Linked DNA regions of Xenopus tropicalis. The protein of the gene in region 2 interacts with the protein of the main gene of each other region in a pairwise test. Links are inferred from orthologs where the notes say so. Each region holds a gene or a part of one and is shown on either strand. Other genes may lie near its edges.

Region 1 (4,273 bases), on a different chromosome or scaffold from region 2:
GGAGGGTGACTGTATACTGGCAATCTAATTAGCTACATCGCAAGGACCAAACATGGAGTAGCTTCAATTTTCCTGTCGCTCTGTTCAGGTCAAGAAATAACAAAAATACATAGATCTTAATTATTACAAGAAGTATATTCCATGCAAGCCCTATTCCCTGAACTAATGCTGAACAAGGGGTGCACTGCCCTTTTAAGTTATAGTAAACTTTTCACAGCGGTAGAGGTTTTTATTAGCTAGTTCCCTAGTACTGTCTGTATTAGCTAATAAACAAGGTTTTTGTTTTGTTTATTCTATAGCTGTGTTGGGGTAGGAATTGTTTCCTGTCCCCCTTGAGGTGGTATTTGCTTATGTAGTGTACACTGTAAACAAGTCAAGAAACCATCTTCATATTATTTATTACTTTTCTGTTCAGACCCCCCCAGTTGATATTCTGTCCTTTCAACTGCTGCCTGGCTATTAGTATCTGGGATCTTTACAACCAAGTAAGAAATAAAGTGTGGTTATATAATTATCATTCATTTTAATGGTGCCAGCAAGTTTCACAGCTCTTTACAATAATATAACAAACAGGGGTCTTACAATATATGAACAAACATGGGTTACAGAATGAAACAGTTGGTTTTCTATAAATTTGTACCATCTGGCAACCCACAGCAACCAGTTATGAAGCTAATTTACCAAACGAGCGCTCCATGTAAAGTCTAAATGTAAACACAAAATCACAATGTTTTTCCCAGAATTGCAGTCATTGACGGCACCCGCTATAGGTGTTAAAATTAGGGTGGGGTTCCTCCTTATTGCAATTGTGTGCAAATGGAATCACTTCCAGTGCAGAATAAGCATTATTGTGTGATTCACTTGACACAATGCCTCTGTAGGTGCCATGGGCTAAGAGAACCATGAAATTACCAGCAGCACAGAGCAGGTATTATTTCCAGGGTTTTCACTGTGTTTATTGTACCCTTTTACATTGTACACTGCATGCTATTGTGCACAGAGTATACTAAGTAAAGGCACTGATTACTATCACCCTCTTCAATAAATAGGGGCCAGTTGCAAATTATTTTAGAATACCACTGTCTAAATCTGTGATGAGATTTTATATCTTGGACTATTTTCATACACAGTACGAACTATCTGTTTATAAGCAGTGGAACCTGCCACAAGTTGTTGATATTAACACACTTAGCGGGCAGTTTGTTTGCAAAGAAATGACTTTCACATATAATGAGAATTATAATGGGACACTCTCCATATTTGATCACATGCGTTGTGATTTGAAGCTGAATCCTGCCTCTTCGTCTTTTATTCTGTATGCATTTCTGGCCACAATAGACAGGAGGAAAGTCTCCACTATGAGCAGATTGTTGTTCATTACTGTAAATAGAAAGATGCTGATAAGCGGATAATGCAAATATGAATGGAAAAATTGATCCACTGCCCTGAAACTCACACATATAGCAATTGAGCAGATCTCTATCCCTGGATGACAAAGCAGCTAAAAGGTGACCTATGATGGCAGCAGTGGCATGAAAGTGCTGCATAAGGCAATGCCAGGGTAACATGTGGAAAAGAAAAGCCTGGAGAGCGTTTCAGACAAATATCCGGAGCTCATAAATAGTATAGCAGCTCTTAAGGTCCTTAGAGGCATGTGCTTAGTTGCATGAACTGCACTGGAGCAATTTATTGAAATTTCACCTGAAACTAGCACAAAGGCAATTTCTCTAGCTGCAGAATTTTTGCTAGCCAGAAGGGAAGCAGAGCAAAGAAACTCTGTGTGTTTCAAACCCCTTCTGAAAAATGAGCCAGAGTAAAGTCAGAGTAAACAATGGTAGTTTCCTTATTGAGCCAGAAAATGCAAGTCCTGGACAGTGGAAGTCCCCAGACATTTGTTGAGAGATTTTCAAACCTTAGGAAACACCAATATATCTTGCATCCATGGAGACAAGAGAAATCATTGGCCAAACTACAAGTTAAAGTTGTAAAGACTGTCCACAGAGTGATTATGGGACTCAGTGTTGGACTGGCCCACCAGGATACCAGGAAAACTCCAGGTGGGCCCAGGTGTCAGTGGGCCCTCCTGCTCCTGCCCATTTGGCTTGTTTCATTATCATTCCCTATTTCTGAATGGGAAGACAGAGGGGAAGTAGATGGAAGAATAGATGCTAGCATGTAAATAAAAGAGACTGGGAGAATAAAGAGATTGATTGGAAGGAGGAAAAATAGTTTTGAGAGTGGGCCTATGATCTAAGGTTTTCTGGTGGGCCCCTGGGGTCCCAGTCCGACACTGATGGAACTGGTCCCTAAATTGCCTTATCCTTTGATTATCAGGAGAGACTTTACTAACAGGAATCAGAGCAACCTGTGGTAGCAATGACTACAAGGGCTCAATTACATACTGCACCTTTGCAAATACATTTTGTGTTTTTATTTTTTTGCTAAAAATAAAGCACACACTTTTGCTGAATTTCAGTTTGTATGCAGAGAATTGGTTTATCCGGCTTAAACACTTTAAAACAGAATTCGGTGAATCAATTTACTCCCCCCTAATCTTGTTACAATGTGATGGAATTCCATTGTGTCAAGTGGTGGATTCTGGAACTTGAAGCATCTCTAACTTCTATAGTGGGTGGTGCACAGATTCTCTGGGAAACAGAGAGACTTTACATCCCAAAAAACATCACATGACAATGGAACGAGGTGATGGAGGGGTTGCATTACACTGTTAGCCTAAGGGAAATGGGGAACTCACTACTAAATACTGGTTAAGCATTATGGTCTCCAGCTTCTCCCTTTCACTTTCAGTCTTACTCAATATACAGAGTTAGAACCACTGGAATGCAGCTAGTCTCACTTGTCACCAACTATAGCTATATGAACTGTCCCTACTCTGTATTTGTTCTGGGGTGTAATTTGATTTCCCTTACTCATCAGGGAAGTAAGGGCAAGGAAAAAAGTACATTTCCCATAATAACTATTTCCCCCTAAATTTGAATAGACCTCTGTTATTGATTCATTTTATGCTAAATGTTTCCCTTGGCCCATTGGTCCTACTTACGCTGAGATCTGGCTTTAGATGAATATGGAGGAAAACATGGTATCTGGCCTGCACCTGCCAGAATACTGAAGATAGAAGCTTGCAGGGTTGTCAGGATGAGCAAGATCTGTAATAAAAATAAGAAGATGTTAGAGATTGTGATCTGTATATAAACTGACTGGACTGAAGAAAAGTTAAAATAATCTAAAACAACAAAGGTGGCTAAATATATTTTTCATTGTGTAAAGCAGTTCTTTTCATCTAGTAATTTGCCAGTTGTCCAATAGAACCACGTTCACTTGTCCCGGTTTTATTACAATTCTGATATTTTATTGAGAATACCAAGCCTATGCCCTATGCCTTGGAAATCTGGATCATCGTCCCAAAAACTGCTTACTGAAGAGCCCAAAGTTTGTAGAATGTTGTAAATTCTTTACAGAATTTTGATTTCCTGCCATTTGGGGAGATTGCCCTTTCTGATAAAATAAACTTTACAATAGTTTTATTGAAGAGGCAAACTTCAGTGCATGATTAGGGATTAGGGTGTAAATACTGTGGGATTGTGGTTTACTAAGTATTTAAAAAGTTTAGGTCAGAATTGAGGTCATGTTCTTTGATGGATAAAGTGATACTTAAAGTAGATTTCTATAAGAAAGGATTATTGTTCATCTTTTTAAAGGTTTAAATTGCAATAATTGTTTCTGTCTTTGATTGTATCTCATATTTGCTAAGACTTTGAATCTGAACCAAATGCAAAAATGACCCTGACATTTATACTGCAATAAGCAGTCAATCAGAAGAACCTAAATATGCAGATAATGCTCTTTGTACAAATCAACCTGTTCCAGAAGTCTAATAAAGATTTATGAAACCAATAAATAATATGAAACCAATAAATAAATGTGCACATTACTTACACTACTTATCAATAGGCCATCATTTACTCTTTAGTTGGGGAAAGTTTCTGGCATCTGTATGTTACTGTACTTCATTATTGAAAGCAATATACAAGAATTACTTATATATCACCAGATATATCTTGAGAATCGGTTGTGCAATTTGACATATGTGCGTGCCTTATACAAGTATTTCTGCTTTATTGCAAGCACCATAAATTACACTCAGAAAGCCCCAAAACATTTCGATTTTGTATTCTTGGCTGCTGCTATGCTTTTGGATTTTTTTTTTTTTAATTTTTAAATTTTTATTGGGTTTTGTGTACAATCCAATCTT
Region 2 (3,500 bases):
TTTCATTATTCACATATTTTCTGCAGCTTCCCCATTATGCTGTCTGTTTGATATGTTCAGTGAACCTAAGAATCAAAAATGTTAATAAAAAATGGAATGATATGCAAGAGGAACATCAAATAAAGATATTTATAAGAACATTATCCGGAACCCGGTTATCCAGAAAGTTCCAGAGTTAGGAAAGGCTGTCTCCCATAGACTCCATTATAAGGAAATCATTTTTAATTTCCTTTTTATCTGTAATAATAAAACAGTACCTTGTACTTGATCCCAACTATGATATAATTACTCCTTATTGGAGACAAAACAAACCTATTGGGTTTATTTAATATTTAAATGATGTCTCAGCAGACTTAAAGGAGAAGGAAAGTTATTTTGGCATTTTATTGCCAATAGATTTGCCACATTAGTGCCACCTAGAACAATATATTTATTCTGCAGAAACCATTACCATACCAGAGTAAATAGCTTTAGAAGCTTTCTCCGTTTGATTAAGATAGCAGCTGCCATTTTAAGTAGCTTCCTGCCTGCAGTCTAGCCGTTATAGCTCAGATTACACATTCCTAAGGGAAAGGGAAGGGACTTCTTAGCAGGAGAGGGGAGAGAACTGCGCAGACACTGGAATTAAGGATGTTTCTGAGAGAGGAAAAGCTGTTAATTATCCCCATGTGCAATGCCAAGTGTACCTGTTTTGTGAACTCCTTGTTTCACCATTGCACAATTGTAGGATATTAGTTATCTGAAGATGTTATTATGGGCAGGCATAAGAGTCTTATATGGCCAATCTTCTACTCAGTTCTTAGAAATGTGTTATATCAATAAATATACATATATCAATTTTGAGTGGGCTTTTGCACTTTGCACTTGGCTTTAATGCCATTGAAAATGTATGATGTGCAGTGCATTTGTGGGAGGCTGTATATATATAATTTTTTTTTATAACGTGATAAAAAAAACTTGTCTTTTAGGAAAAGGTGGGCGGGGGAATTTATTGTAGGTGCAAGTTTTTACCACTGTTTTACTATAGAAGTTAATGAAACAATAAAATACAGTATCACCTTTAACAAACTGGAAAGAGATTTTGATGTAAACATTTTCTCAATATTTGATCTTTGTAAAGAATATAAATGACTATAATAATGTGTAACATTTTTCAATCTGCCACTTATGGTGGGCTCAATCAGTGTTAGGCAGCCTGGTATAAAATGTAATAAATTAAACCAGTTCAGTTGGGCACAGGAATTATATTGTAGCCAAAATGGCTTTTTCATATTTAGTGCTATTCATTTAACCCTGATATAAACATTTTTAGACTGTATATGGCTTTTTATGTTTGAAAACTGAGAGGTGTCTGTTACGTGTATGTATTACTTAAATCTGCATACATTTCAAAGTTGTAGTTGTACTCACTATTTGGCCTACTGTATATAGGGACTTCTTGCCCAACCTAGTTTTATGATTTCATTAGATTTGTGGTTTTAAAAAAATATTTTTTTTCAAAAAGTGGTTGTGTCATTCTTTCCTGTCGAATTTTTTTTAAAAGCTTATTCTTTTATTCATTGCTCCTCTTGAACAGCCCCAGTGTGAGAGAGTGCAAACAGAATAATGTAACCCAACAAAATGTTTAGCAGGTTGATTCATTGCATTGCAAAGTACATGAATCTTTTGTCTATAAAACCTCAATTCCCAGGGATTATGAATAACAGATCCTGCACATGACAATGGAAACCAATATGACCCTTCTTAGATCCCTAAATATTGTTGGTCTGCACCTCCTAGTAGGTTTTAACCCCTGATTATCTGTTGAGGAATTCTGGAGTTTTATTTCAACAGCATCTGGGGACCAAAGGTTAAGAAATACAGCTATATAGTAACAGCCTTCATCTGACACCAGCTTTGTTCCATACTACCCTACTTTAACAAACAGATGTCCACTTCATATAGGTTAAAAGATTTAGGGGTATATTTATCATACTGTGTAAAAAGTGGAGTGAAACATTACCGGTGATGTTGCCCAGGGCAACCAATCAGCAATTAGATTTCAACAGTTACAAAATGAAAGAAAAGCATCTGATTGGCTTCTATGAGCAACACCACCGGTGATGTTTTACTCCACTTTTTACACAGCATGATAAATATACCCCTTAGGGTAATGCCACACCAGGATGATAATCAGCATCTATGTTTGCCTCAGCCTACTTTTGCGACTGCACCCAGAACCAAAAAGTTGGCCAAGGTGCAGGCACATGGAGCAGATTTTGGCACTAAAAATGCATTAGTATGCATTTCAGTGATGAAATCTGCTCCATGTGTCTGCATCCGGCGCATGCAGTTTCTCCAGGTGCAGTCATAAGAGTAGGCTGAGGCAAGCAAAGGGGTAGATAAATGCAGGCCGAGAATCAGTCTGGTGTGGCAGTAGCCTTATATTCTGTATGAGAATAATACAATAACTGACGCTCTCTTAGGTAAAAGCTTCTAAAGCTACTTTGTCTTTGATCCATATCAACAATATCTTTAAGTGCAAGATAATTTAACCTTTACTCACCTGTGACCGGTGCTCTCCCACAGCAAACTGCACCACAGCTATGCCTGGACTATGGCTGCTCTCAATTCTCTCCACTGTGCTGGAGTCTATTTTCAAGTCGTTGCTAATATCTGCACTTTGTATGAAGTCATCTGTTTTTAAATCCTCTACTTTCTTTAGCTCACCATTGGCCAGCTGTATGATTGACCCTTTCATAAAGTAAGGGGGCAGTGTAGGGGCAGTTGCCATATGAGAAGCAACAGACTGTACAACAGGGAGGTGGATTTGAGCTGGGACCAATGCAGCCTGGTAGGCAGTTTGAGTTGCCAGTGTTTCAGCACTGTAGTTTTCACCTTTTGGAATGGGCGTAGTGACAAATGTATGAGGCACTGCTGCAAACTGGGGAGATGACGTCACAATACCAGGTGTAACCCCAACCCTAGATGATTCCATGTCTGGATTGCCAACAGGTATAAGTAAGGGCTGGGTTCCAGGGAACACCAAGTGTTGTGGCAAATTTCCAGGGTAGCCAATGGTTTGCTGCTGACTGCTGAGATAGCCAATAACTGGCTGTTGTGTACCCGCATAAAAAGCAGCAGGCAAACCAACAGAAAGTTGTTCTGCTGCACTGTGAGTTGTCTGGATGACAGTGTGAGGAGATAATGTAGCCACAGTTTTTACTACTTCTGGGCATAATGTTTGCTGTGGGGATAAAACATAGGGCCGATGGGTTTGCTTTCCTAAATGTATGCTTCCCCTGTTATGAGCTGCTAAAGGTGAGGTTTCTCTCTTAATAGTTTGTGAGACATCCATGTCTGTGGCAGTTGTGTTGCTGTTAGGCACTACCATGACTGAGGTCCGAACTCCTGAGGGATCCCGAGTACTATAATCAGTACTAGGGTGCACCACCACATGTCTTGTCTCATAATGTTGGGAAGCTGGTTTATTATTGCCTGCTTTCATTAACTGTGCATCT
Region 3 (3,500 bases), about 35 Mb from region 2:
ATATTGATTTGGTGCCAATTCCCAACAAGTGATAATCAATAAGTGGACAAAATGTTCTATTTTACAAATGTCCCATAACTGCACCAGCATGGTTAAGATTTTCCAGCAGAGTCTTTGCCATACTACTACTACTACAAAAAAAAAAAAATATATACCACACACACATTTCCCTCCCATTAAAGTAAATATATGACTTAGGTGGACCATCCGATTTATATTATGCCTATCCAGTAAACAATGCTCAATTTGTTACTGTACTAATCTAAAGCCATCCTGTATTATCCTAACCTATATTATATTGCTACCCCTGTGCTCATGTATTTTAAATAACTGCAAAAAAAAAAATTCTTCTCATGAACATAACAAAATGCTTAAAACCTACATTCCCTTCAAACAGAGTAATATGCTAAAAGTATCCATTTTTCATTGCACCCTGTCTGCATATGTCTGCTATACCCTTGCCCCAGCTGAACAATACTCCATAGCGAACAGAAGCACAGATATTATGGCAATAAAGGAACAGCGGTCTTTGGCTATGGATAATTCCTCAGTCAAGCCAAGATTTATGTAAAGCAAGTATATTATGTATACTTTTATATTTACAGGATATACTAGATACTTTCCTCTCATCATTTCATTTGTCTGCCCTACTTATAGAGCAGCATCTCAAACAAGAGCAGATAAATGTAACATTTGACACATCCTATTGCTATGCTTGGCCTCAACAGGCTTTGCCACAACACAGAAACCCCATCAGTTAAACAAAAGCCTTGGTTTTGTCTTGGCTTATTATTAACATACGCATTTGTTGAATTTTACAAAAGAGTCACTTGTAATTTTCAATTTCTCCTTAAACGGCCAATTCTACACAGAAACAAAAGAGGATTAAAGCAGAAATAACATTCACTGCTGTTTAAATTGAGAGAGGCAAAAGACTGCTTCCCTCCAGGGTCTCACCTTGATTCAGCCTCTGCTGGATATTCCTCAAAAATCTCAAACTTTTGGCGACTTTTCATGGATTTTAACATAGCCTCAGATGGCAAGCCTTGTGGGCCAGTTCCTCCATTGATTACTAAATCTCTGTGGGATAGTCGCAATATCCATTTAAAACGGATTACGAGATGTGCTACGTTCCCGACATACCACAGGCCAGATGCTACCCGTGCCCCACACAGTATGTATGCCACAGTCTGAGTGTCTCGTCATTAGTGTGAGTGATTGCATGCACCTCATACCCACCTACGTTTCAGCCTGCCCAAAGCTTGAGAACCTTTGCCGTACATACTCTAAACCACCATGACAGTGCTGTTCACACCCTAGTTGCGTTATTAAATTACCAGGACATTGGTTGGCACAGAAGGCTCTACATTTTAAAAGAAGTGTGGATATTACATGGAATACGCTGCATACTAACAGGATTGCTGAGCGAAAAAGTAATCATGTGCATGCTGTAAGGTGCAGTCCCACAAATATCCATATAGAGCAGGCTGAGCCAGCCATTGCTAAGCTGCAACTTCCAGTAGAGACTCCCATGTACATGGGCATTTGTAGTTCAGCAACAGCTTAGCTATCCCTGCTCTAGAGCTAAAATGGCATTTAAGGTTGTTTGTGGGCCTACCAGCTAGCCCACACTTGGCTTATGCTTTAAAGTAATCTAAAATGGCAACTCAGAGCACAGAAAATATTTTCTTTATGCAAAAAGGAGATACACAAATATGAGGGATTCTTAATATCATCCATTTCACCTCGGCCATAGCATCTCCATGAAGTGAATTATTAAACAAAGCCCCTCAGAATGGGGGTGGAGATGTTGGAGAGTGGGACTGCACCGCTAGCTGTATCTGGCCGCAGTGCTCAGTTCAGAAACAATAAAAGTGTAATTAGCCAGCCAGAAGAAATCATGGATGTTGGCTCTACCACTTACATTAGTCCAGCAACCCCCCTCCAGAAAAATTGGTTTGATGCATGTTTAAGCCCCCAATACGTCACCCACCAAAAATAATTGTATTTGTTGTTGATTTGTGAAGTTGCTCATAACCAGTGAATCTGTGGAGTAAATTAAAGCCCAGTACCCAAGAGAGAAAGCTGTTCCAGCACCTACCAGCAACAAGCGAAGAGAAGCGGCAAGACCCAAAGCCCAGACTTACATGGTAACTTACATGGCGGCGGGGACAAGCCATTGCGATTTAAAGTTCCCCCCATTAAGACAAAGTTCATTTCCTCTGCTGAACACTGAAACACCTCCACATATCTGTCCTTCATGGTCTTCTTGTGGCACTTCTGTGCTGCCAGATACGCCCGGTCTGCCGATTTCATCTGAATAAACGAGTCCCCAGATGGACGGCCCTGGTGACAAAGAACATGAATGAGAAAGTTTTCTATGAACGGACAATGGGAAATCCAAACAAACAATGGTTAACCGTTTGTGCTAAAAGGGCTCATTTAAAAGTCACACACACAGTGCCATGCATACAACTGCACTATGGTAGGGCAAAGGTTAATTTGCTAATTGCATAAGTAACATACTGGTCTTTCAATTATTTCTATATGTGCAACATTGCCAAAACACATACCAAACCAACACCAGTTAGCTTCTACTTGTTCGGCACAAGCAAAACTATAGCTGGTCATATACACATCAATACTGGCCTCCCACACAGTCACACTTGACCAAGTTGCCAGATTATTAGTCTGTGTACGATGCAAAAACGAAGGTACCTGGAGTGATATCTGGCTGAGGCTCAGCCACAAATCACTGGAAAATCCCAGAAGATATGGACTGCATCTAAGATAGATATATATATATATATAGAGAGATATATAGAGAGATATAGATATATATAGAGAGATATATAGATATATATAGATATATATATAGATATATATAGATAGATTTATAGATATATAGATAGATTTATAGATATATAGATAGATATAGATATATAGATAGATATAGATATAGATATATATATATATATATATATATATATATATATATCTAAGATAGATATTGTCTTTTCCAATCAAGGTCAGCACAGGCCCCTATGTGACCCAATGTGGCTCAGTGGGTTGCTGCTGCCTTGGAGTGCTGGGGTCCTGAAGTCTACTCCAGCCAGGGCATTATCTGCAAGGAGTTTGTATGCTCTCCCCATGTCTGTATGCGATTCCTCCAGGAAATCCAGTTTCCTCCCACACTTCAAAAACATACAGGCAGGTGAATTCCAAATAAAAAAACTGTCCCTAATGTAAGTGAATGTAATAGGGACCTTAGACCATGGATCCTCAAACTACGGCCCACAGGCCGGATCTGGCCACCCCAAGGTAATTTACCTGGCCCCTGCTGCATCCTCTCCCCTGGCTAGTGTGCCTGTCTATAAATACTGGGGAAAAAACCCACCACCGCTAAAGCTCTTGACCAAGTTGGCAGCTTATTAGACCATGTATGGTGCCAAAATGAGAGGTGCCTAAACCAATATCTGACTGGGGCTCAGAGACATACC
Region 4 (3,680 bases), on a different chromosome or scaffold from region 2:
AGCCGCGAGCTGAGCCAGATCCCAATGCTAAGCCCAAGCGCAAGAGGAGATCACGTAAGAATGGTGCTCTTCTTGGTGAAATGGGTGGAGAGGGAAGTTTAGGCTATCAAGGCACATCTGAATGGGGACCTGAAGGTAAAGGAACACCATGGCCGGGTCAGCTTTCTCACAGCCAGTCAGGTGGTAGACACTGCAGTTATCAAGGACCTGAAAACAGGGGATTTTCTTCAATGCACAGTGGATCCCCTAACAGACCTAGTTACTATGCAGGAGCAGGATCAGTGTCCCATGCCGAGGGTGGAGGGCAGGACCGCCACAGCCTCTTTACTGGGTATTTCCGCTCCCTCCTTGACTCAGATGACTCTTCTGATCTAGTAGATTTTGCCATGGCTGCCCAGAGACAAGAAGCCCGGAAATCAGCATCAGCCTTCTCTGGATCGTCATCTTCCCCTAACACCCGAGCTCTCCAGTCCTATTCCAACTCCCGGGGCACTAAAGCTAGTGCTCAAGAATCAGCATACCAAAGCTCAGCACCAGCCAGGCAGCAATTTCCACCAAGTCGAGGGTCATCAAATTATGCAGCATTAAATCAACAAGACTGCCATGGCTCTGATGCCTTTCAGAAGCTGGTGTCTCGTTCACCTAATTCTCATCATACTGGGGGCTTTAGCCAATATAGTGGTTTCTCTGGAACTGGTGGTCAGAGCCTTCCCAGCCATGGACTTTTTGCACCTAACAAACAGTATCCCTCTGGACCCCCAGATTGTGCAGGCAACAAGGACTGTAGTTTCTCATTCAGTGGAGGTAACAGCCTCCCTTCATCACCTGGCAGTGCTCATAGTGGTACAGGTTTCAGCCATCAGCAGCAACAACAATTGCCTGCTGTAGGATCTGGAGTTAACATGTCCAAAAACCCCTTCTTTAATACATCAGAAGTGCCCCCTTTTCCCCCCCTTAGGAGCGAGAGTCGATCAGGTACCTCCTCACCTGCCAATTACATGCTGCCTAAAGCTGCTGGATCACTCTTCCCTGGGGAAAATAGCCGTACCTTTCCAGGGACTTCAAGTCAGTGGGCTTTTAGGCAGGGTTACAGCCAGACAGATTGGGGTCCTGACAGTTTTGGACAGCTCTATGGAGCTGGTTTTGATTGTCACATGACAGAGTCCAATGTTATCTTAGACATTAGCAACTATACTCCCCAGAAAGCCAAACAGAACACAGACAACATTTCTGAATCATCCTCTGACAGCACACAGTACACACAGCCTGGGGCTGGCTATCGCCGGGCCAACAGTGAGGCTTCATCTAGTGAAGGGCAATCCAGCTTATCAAGTCTTGAAAAATTAATGATGGATTGGAATGAAACATCCTCTGCCCCTGGATACAGCTGGAACCAGAGTGTTCTCTTTCACCATACTGCTAAACCTGGTCGGGGGAGAAGGAAGAAAGCTGATATTTTTGAACCCTCACACCCACATCACCATCACCTGGGCTTCTCCTCATCCTCTCCTTCTTCCTCCTCTTCCTCAGCTGCTGCTCCTCCTACAGGCTTTCCCAGTAAACGAGGAGGGGGTCCAAGAGGTCCAAGGGGTGGTCGTGGTGGGGGCTGTTCCACAAACAGGAAAGAGAGAGGTTCAGGAAAGGCTAAGTTTGTCCCAAAACCACCTGCTCCACCTCCATCATCCTCTGTGAGCTCCCTGTTCCAGGAGTCCTCAGAGCTAGGATTGGACTGCTATAGTGGGGATAGTAGCATGTCACCTCTGCCTTCCCACTCACGGGCATATAGTGTAGGAGAGAGAGATCCCCCTTGTGACTTTTCTGGACCTTATTCCATGAACCCGTCTACCCCTTCTGATGGCACATTTGGTTTCCAGAGTGACTCCCCGGGGCTGTGCCCTCCCACAACAGAGCTAGAGCCTGGAAAACACTTTTCTCACCTCCCACCATCCGGAAGTGCCACCTCTGGTGCCCCACATCCTCCTCCACCACCTGGCCTGGGTTACGAACATCCCATGCAAGACTCTCCTTTTTCTCCCAACTGCTCCCCTACACTTGAGCTACGGCCAGGGGAAGGAAGGAAGCTAGTACCCTCTTCTCACTCATCCTGTGATCCCCTCAAACACAGTTTGCCTCCACACTTGCCCTCTTGTCGTGAGCAACTACCATCCCAACCTTCCACCCATCACCGCTATGAGCCCCCCAGCTGCAAAAATGCTGGCTACTGGTACCCACCTCGCAGTCCTCCTTATGATGGAAAAGGGGGCTTACTTTCAGACTTTATGGGCAGGCGGGGGGAGGGAGCATCCTGTCTGAGCCCCCATATCCCCAGCCCTAAAAGGGACAAAGAGACGCTGGACATGATGAGAGGACACCACAGAGCCCCATACCCTTGCCCATTGCTCAGTGATATCACCCATTCCCCTGTGCAAAGAGACTCCATGGTGCAACTACAGGAGACCTATCGCTACCCAGCCTTTCCCCCCCAGGGACCCCCAGTTCTGTCCCCTCCCAACATGAAGGGTGGGTTTCTGGGACCTGAAAATATTCCTGAAGACAACTTTACAGTCACCTCCCTTTAGTGAGGTGACTTGTCTGGAGTCATCGGGAGCAGCAGAGGCCGGGGGGTGAGGTGAGAATTGGATAGGGAAGGAAATCAAATGATTAAAGAAGGATATGCAATTGCATTGTTCAGTTTTGTGAAAGTGCTGCACATTTTCTATAAAAAGATTGCTTCTTGTCTAACTATAGCTGTAGCAAACTTGACTTACATGAGCAGAAGACTGTAGCTATAATGCAAACTGCCTATATAAAAAACAATATTTGTCATTTTTGTACAAAAATATTTACATGCATCAATTTATGGTCCTACACACACATGTGGACTGCGAGTTTATATACCACATACTGCTGAAAAGAAGCACACAAACTATTTGAAAAAAAATTCCATAGCATTTATGGATCGTAAAGCAGCAGTTTGTATTTAGCTATACTTTTTGTGTTCACTTCAAAATTGAATGTCATATCTCCTCATTTTTACCATATATATGTCTGGATAATTAAACGGGCCTTAATTAGTCAGGACAATTGAAGGTTAAAATTGAAAATCTGATGCAAAATTGACAACATTTTTTGTATTCCTTTTTTTGTGATAAACTGTACTGTGATGCAAAAGATAGTTAAGTTGTGTACTTTTTTTTATAATGACTTTTAGGTTAAATTAATTTATTTATATACGTAATTTGTGTGAAGCCTCCCCCTAAAATCTATAGCATACACACAGGCTTAGTTTAGAACATTTGCCAAATATACACATAAGTAACCCATAGAAACTAATCAGTGACTGTCTTTTTTTTTTTTTTGCCAACTTCAGGTTGAACAATCAAACCAAACATTTAATTTGGTTCTTATAGGTTACTGCCCAGTTGCAAATTTGCCCAATGTTTATAATGAACCCCAATGTGTTTTAATTGCCACTCCTTATTGCAGGATCTGAATTCAAATAACTGCTTCAGACCATATGCAACTTATGTGAATGGTAAGCTCTATGGGTCATTGTGATTGATAATTACCCGAGACCAAGTTGATCATGGCTACAAGTAACTGGGATCACAGTACTTTTTTTGCAATTACCCTTAAGGTAATTCTTGTCCATGTGTATAAAACCTGTATTCTAAACATTT
Region 5 (3,500 bases), on a different chromosome or scaffold from region 2:
CCAGCACAAAGATTCCTGTCTAATCTGTACTGAGACGCCAGACTTTCTCCAAACATTACCAAGAATGGGAACTGCCATGTATATAGGATGAACATAGAATTACATTCCAGCATTTCCTTCAAGTTTTATAGCCAGCTCAAAATTCTAGTGCATAACCAAGCCTTCAGTAAAACTTAGTAACCCTTTCTCACTGTTCTTGAGAGCAAGAGAAATAGGCTAAATATAAAGAATGGCAACTTTTAACAGTGGCCAGGTCTTCCAAAACAGTTTTTTTATTGCAAAAAATTGTCAATACACACAGGCAGATTTAAAAAATGTAAACATATGCATTTTTGCACCAAAATCCACCTGCTGTGTGCATTGACAGGAAGATGCCTTTTTTTTAAGCCTCTCCTTTTGATCTTTCATTCTGACTTCAAAACTGCTCTCTGGTTGCTAGGATCATTAAGCCCTAGCAATCAGACAGCTGTTAAATCTTCCAAGAATGATAGCTGCAGAACAAAAAGGGTAAGTATTTCATCAAACTATTTCTTAAAAAAATGAAGACATGATGCTAAACATTAATTTTAAGGTGGACTGTCCCTTTAAGTTGGCTGTATCTGTAGTTTAAACACTTAATACTATAGTAAGATCAAGCAAGAAATACACTTTAAAAATAAAAAAAACTGCATGAGTTTGACATCTCTATGCTACATGATATTCCTTTTTTAAATTTCAAATATGTGTTTATCTCAAGAGCAATGCAAGAGCAGCGTGTTGTCTAGCATCTATTATGTTATGTGTGGGTATAACAAAGACACAACAAACAGCACTATTCAGTTCCATAATATTTTTATTTAAACTTCATCATCCGTGAAAAGCCAATTAGCTGTCCCTCCAGGGTTGGAGAAGGCTGCAGTTGTAAGCAACCTTGAATAGTAAAATGTCATAAGATAAGAAGTGTACTTTAAAACATTTGCACAAAGGCCCCACATCTGAGATAAGGGCAAGTATTTGGAGTCATGTAAACAGGTCTAATGGAAGTGACCCTGAGGGTTGAAGGGTCAACAGATATTTGAGAAATGGTGATCTGTGTGTGTGTTTGATGTGAAATGTTGCCAATACATCTATACTTATAGCAGAATCTAACAAGGAAACTCATCAGGTACCTATCAACTGTCTACTCATTTGAGGCATTGTGTGTGGTCATGGGAAACCCTTACCTGATAGGTCAAACCAGTTGGGCCACGTGACTGAAAATAGAGGTGGGACTGAAACAGCTCCAAGTAACAGTCACTTATGTCCTGCAAAGAACAGAACAGGTTAATCTGGAATATCCCCTTTGGCAAGTTAAACGTGTCCCTCTCAAAAATAAGATGTTTGCTTAAACAACTGGATTACCAATGGTCAATATTTGAAGTCTTGGTTTCAAAAATAAAATATCAATTTATCACTGACTTAAAAATACAAATAAATCTGTGTTCACAGATTTTAGAAATCAGCAAGTGAGTAGGAACACTACATGCACCAACACAATTAGCAAAAACATATGCATGAAAGATTGAAAAGGTAAAAAGTAGTCCTGCGTGGTACATTTTGCACGTTGCGGCTTTTATATTTGTGCACAGAGATTATTCTCTTTCATTGTTGTGACTGTGGTTTTAAGAAATCGTGCCGACTATTCGCCCCGTCTGTATTCAGCTTAATATGAGTACTGCAGTAATTAGTGTAATGATCAGGTAAGAAATGGGACAGTCCATTCTTTTTTTGAATCTGCCCCACTCTGATCAGCAAAGGTTCCCAACTAAAGTGCAGACAGCACAGAAACTGAATCTTATCACCCAGACAAACAGGTTAAAGTCCACAATAGACATGTAATGGGAAATGACTCATAGGTATAGCAAGTAGGGGAGGGGATCGGCTTTGGAAAGTACACAGTTTGGCTGATGTTTAACACTCTGCTAATGATAACAGCTGATTATTTCCTTTAACCTTTCTTACGCCAAGTTTTGCCAGCTCATCCCCTGTGCTGAAATATATACAGTACTGCAATAGGCATTGGAGAAATGTGGAAAAAATTGATTGTGCAAAGAACAAAATGTTAGTATTGTGAATATTTTTTTCCAGTGGGGATTTTTATTATATTGCCCATTAGGTTATTAGCTCCATTGGGGGAGGGACTGATTTGAATTCTGAATAGTGATGAGCAAAATTTTTCACAAGGTTTTGCTGCGATAAAATGCCAAACAGCCTAAAAAAAAAGTTGCTCGGTATAAAAAAAAAAGTTGAAAGGACAGCATTGCGTAAAGGTGGCCATACACGCTAAGGTCCGCTCGCTTGGCAAGGTCGATATCAGGCTAATTAGAAAGACAGGTATAGGTGTCCGTCGGTTCAGGGACTGCATCAACGAGCCAATGGGGTCCCCAATCCAACTAAATGTCAAATCTGCCAAATCTTGATCTGGCCATTTTCAGGCCAGATGTTGGTCAGGCAGGCCCGTCGTTAGTGACCATACACGGGCCGATATAATGCCGAATCAGTCTAAGGGACCGATATATATCGGCAGCTAGATTCAGCCCGTGTATGGCCACCTCAAGCCACAATTCTGTGTCTTATGCAGATACTGTAACATCCCACTCCAACCATTATCTAACTGCTAATTCATCATTATAAATATACTCCATGGACCTACCTCTGGTACCAAAGTGTAATAGAACATAAACTTTAAAAGAATAAAAATGGCTACATAGTCTTAAACAAATTAAATTAACAAAAGGCAATTAGCTGGGGCCAACCACATACTCTATGTTGTGTTAATTTTAAACCCAACTGAGTTTGCTACTGTCTAAAAAGGGGAAGATGCATATTTAGAATAGTCAAGTCAAGCAATATGCTATCTCACACTTACACACAGACATGCAACGTGAAGAAGTATAGTGTTCTAGGCACCCAATTATGCCTTCATGAGTTAACATTTATTTAAGGTAAAATATATGTAAGTTAAAACCTACTAAAAGTAGGTTATATTTCATTTCAAATACTTGGGCCTTTACTTAGAACATTCATCATTACACTCTTCTTGCCAACAGCAACTCTGTGCTCCATTTTGCTGGCGACAGTGGTAAAATGATTCCCTCTGTTGCCTGGGTGCTTGCACTGTTTACTACATTGCATAAAGGATTCTGTGAGTATAACAGCTACCCTGCATATATCCTCATTCCTTTACCTGACTGTTCTGAAAGCAGAATTTGACTTTGGAGTAGTGAATCATTTGTCCCATATTCCTGACGATGGTTTTTTTCTTGCCCTTCCTGAAGATGCTGAGAAATCTTTGATCCACACTGTCCTTCTGTATTTCATGGTTTCCAATGTCCTGTTAAAAAAAGAGGATACAAATCCATAGTGATACTTTACATATACAGTAGGTGATTTATTTATGCTTACTTTAGAAATGATTTCCTATTTCTATGGCCAAAAACATGCCAATATGTAATAGGACCATTGACAATATGTGCAGATGG

What was found.
Region 1: the proteins of atxn1 (region 2) and slc51a interact in binary tests that used the Homo sapiens proteins (3 or more experiments, as listed by UniProt). The link is inferred for Xenopus tropicalis from reciprocal best matches to the Homo sapiens genes ATXN1 and SLC51A.
Region 3: the proteins of atxn1 (region 2) and esrp1 interact in binary tests that used the Homo sapiens proteins (3 or more experiments, as listed by UniProt). The link is inferred for Xenopus tropicalis from reciprocal best matches to the Homo sapiens genes ATXN1 and ESRP1.
Region 4: the proteins of atxn1 (region 2) and ahdc1 interact in binary tests that used the Homo sapiens proteins (3 or more experiments, as listed by UniProt). The link is inferred for Xenopus tropicalis from reciprocal best matches to the Homo sapiens genes ATXN1 and AHDC1.
Region 5: the proteins of atxn1 (region 2) and plekhn1 interact in binary tests that used the Homo sapiens proteins (3 or more experiments, as listed by UniProt). The link is inferred for Xenopus tropicalis from reciprocal best matches to the Homo sapiens genes ATXN1 and PLEKHN1.

Annotation. Positions count from the first base shown.
Region 1 is NC_030681.2:102,870,991-102,875,263, reverse strand, and holds the end of slc51a (organic solute transporter subunit alpha), read right to left. Parts: intron 3,168-4,273; coding exon 3,062-3,167; intron 1,381-3,061; coding exon 1,265-1,380; 3' UTR 501-1,264; downstream 1-500. UniProt on the Homo sapiens protein: Essential component of the Ost-alpha/Ost-beta complex, a heterodimer that acts as the intestinal basolateral transporter responsible for bile acid export from enterocytes into portal blood. Efficiently transports the major species of bile acids (taurocholate).
Region 2 is NC_030682.2:93,429,300-93,432,799, reverse strand, and holds part of atxn1 (ataxin-1), read right to left. Parts: coding exon 2,546-3,500; intron 1-2,545. UniProt on the Homo sapiens protein: Chromatin-binding factor that repress Notch signaling in the absence of Notch intracellular domain by acting as a CBF1 corepressor. Binds to the HEY promoter and might assist, along with NCOR2, RBPJ-mediated repression. Binds RNA in vitro.
Region 3 is NC_030682.2:128,035,576-128,039,075, reverse strand, and holds part of esrp1 (epithelial splicing regulatory protein 1), read right to left. Parts: intron 2,347-3,500; coding exon 2,148-2,346; intron 1,081-2,147; exon of another isoform or gene 958-1,080; intron 1-957. UniProt on the Homo sapiens protein: mRNA splicing factor that regulates the formation of epithelial cell-specific isoforms. Specifically regulates the expression of FGFR2-IIIb, an epithelial cell-specific isoform of FGFR2.
Region 4 is NC_030678.2:78,097,676-78,101,355, reverse strand, and holds the end of ahdc1 (AT-hook DNA-binding motif-containing protein 1), read left to right. Parts: coding exon 1-2,579; 3' UTR 2,580-3,180; downstream 3,181-3,680. UniProt on the Homo sapiens protein: Transcription factor required for the proper patterning of the epidermis, which plays a key role in early epithelial morphogenesis. Directly binds promoter and enhancer regions and acts by maintaining local enhancer-promoter chromatin architecture.
Region 5 is NC_030683.2:88,889,861-88,893,360, forward strand, and holds part of plekhn1 (pleckstrin homology domain-containing family N member 1), read right to left. Parts: intron 3,353-3,500; coding exon 3,206-3,352; intron 1,284-3,205; coding exon 1,203-1,283; intron 1-1,202. UniProt on the Homo sapiens protein: Controls the stability of the leptin mRNA harboring an AU-rich element (ARE) in its 3' UTR, in cooperation with the RNA stabilizer ELAVL1.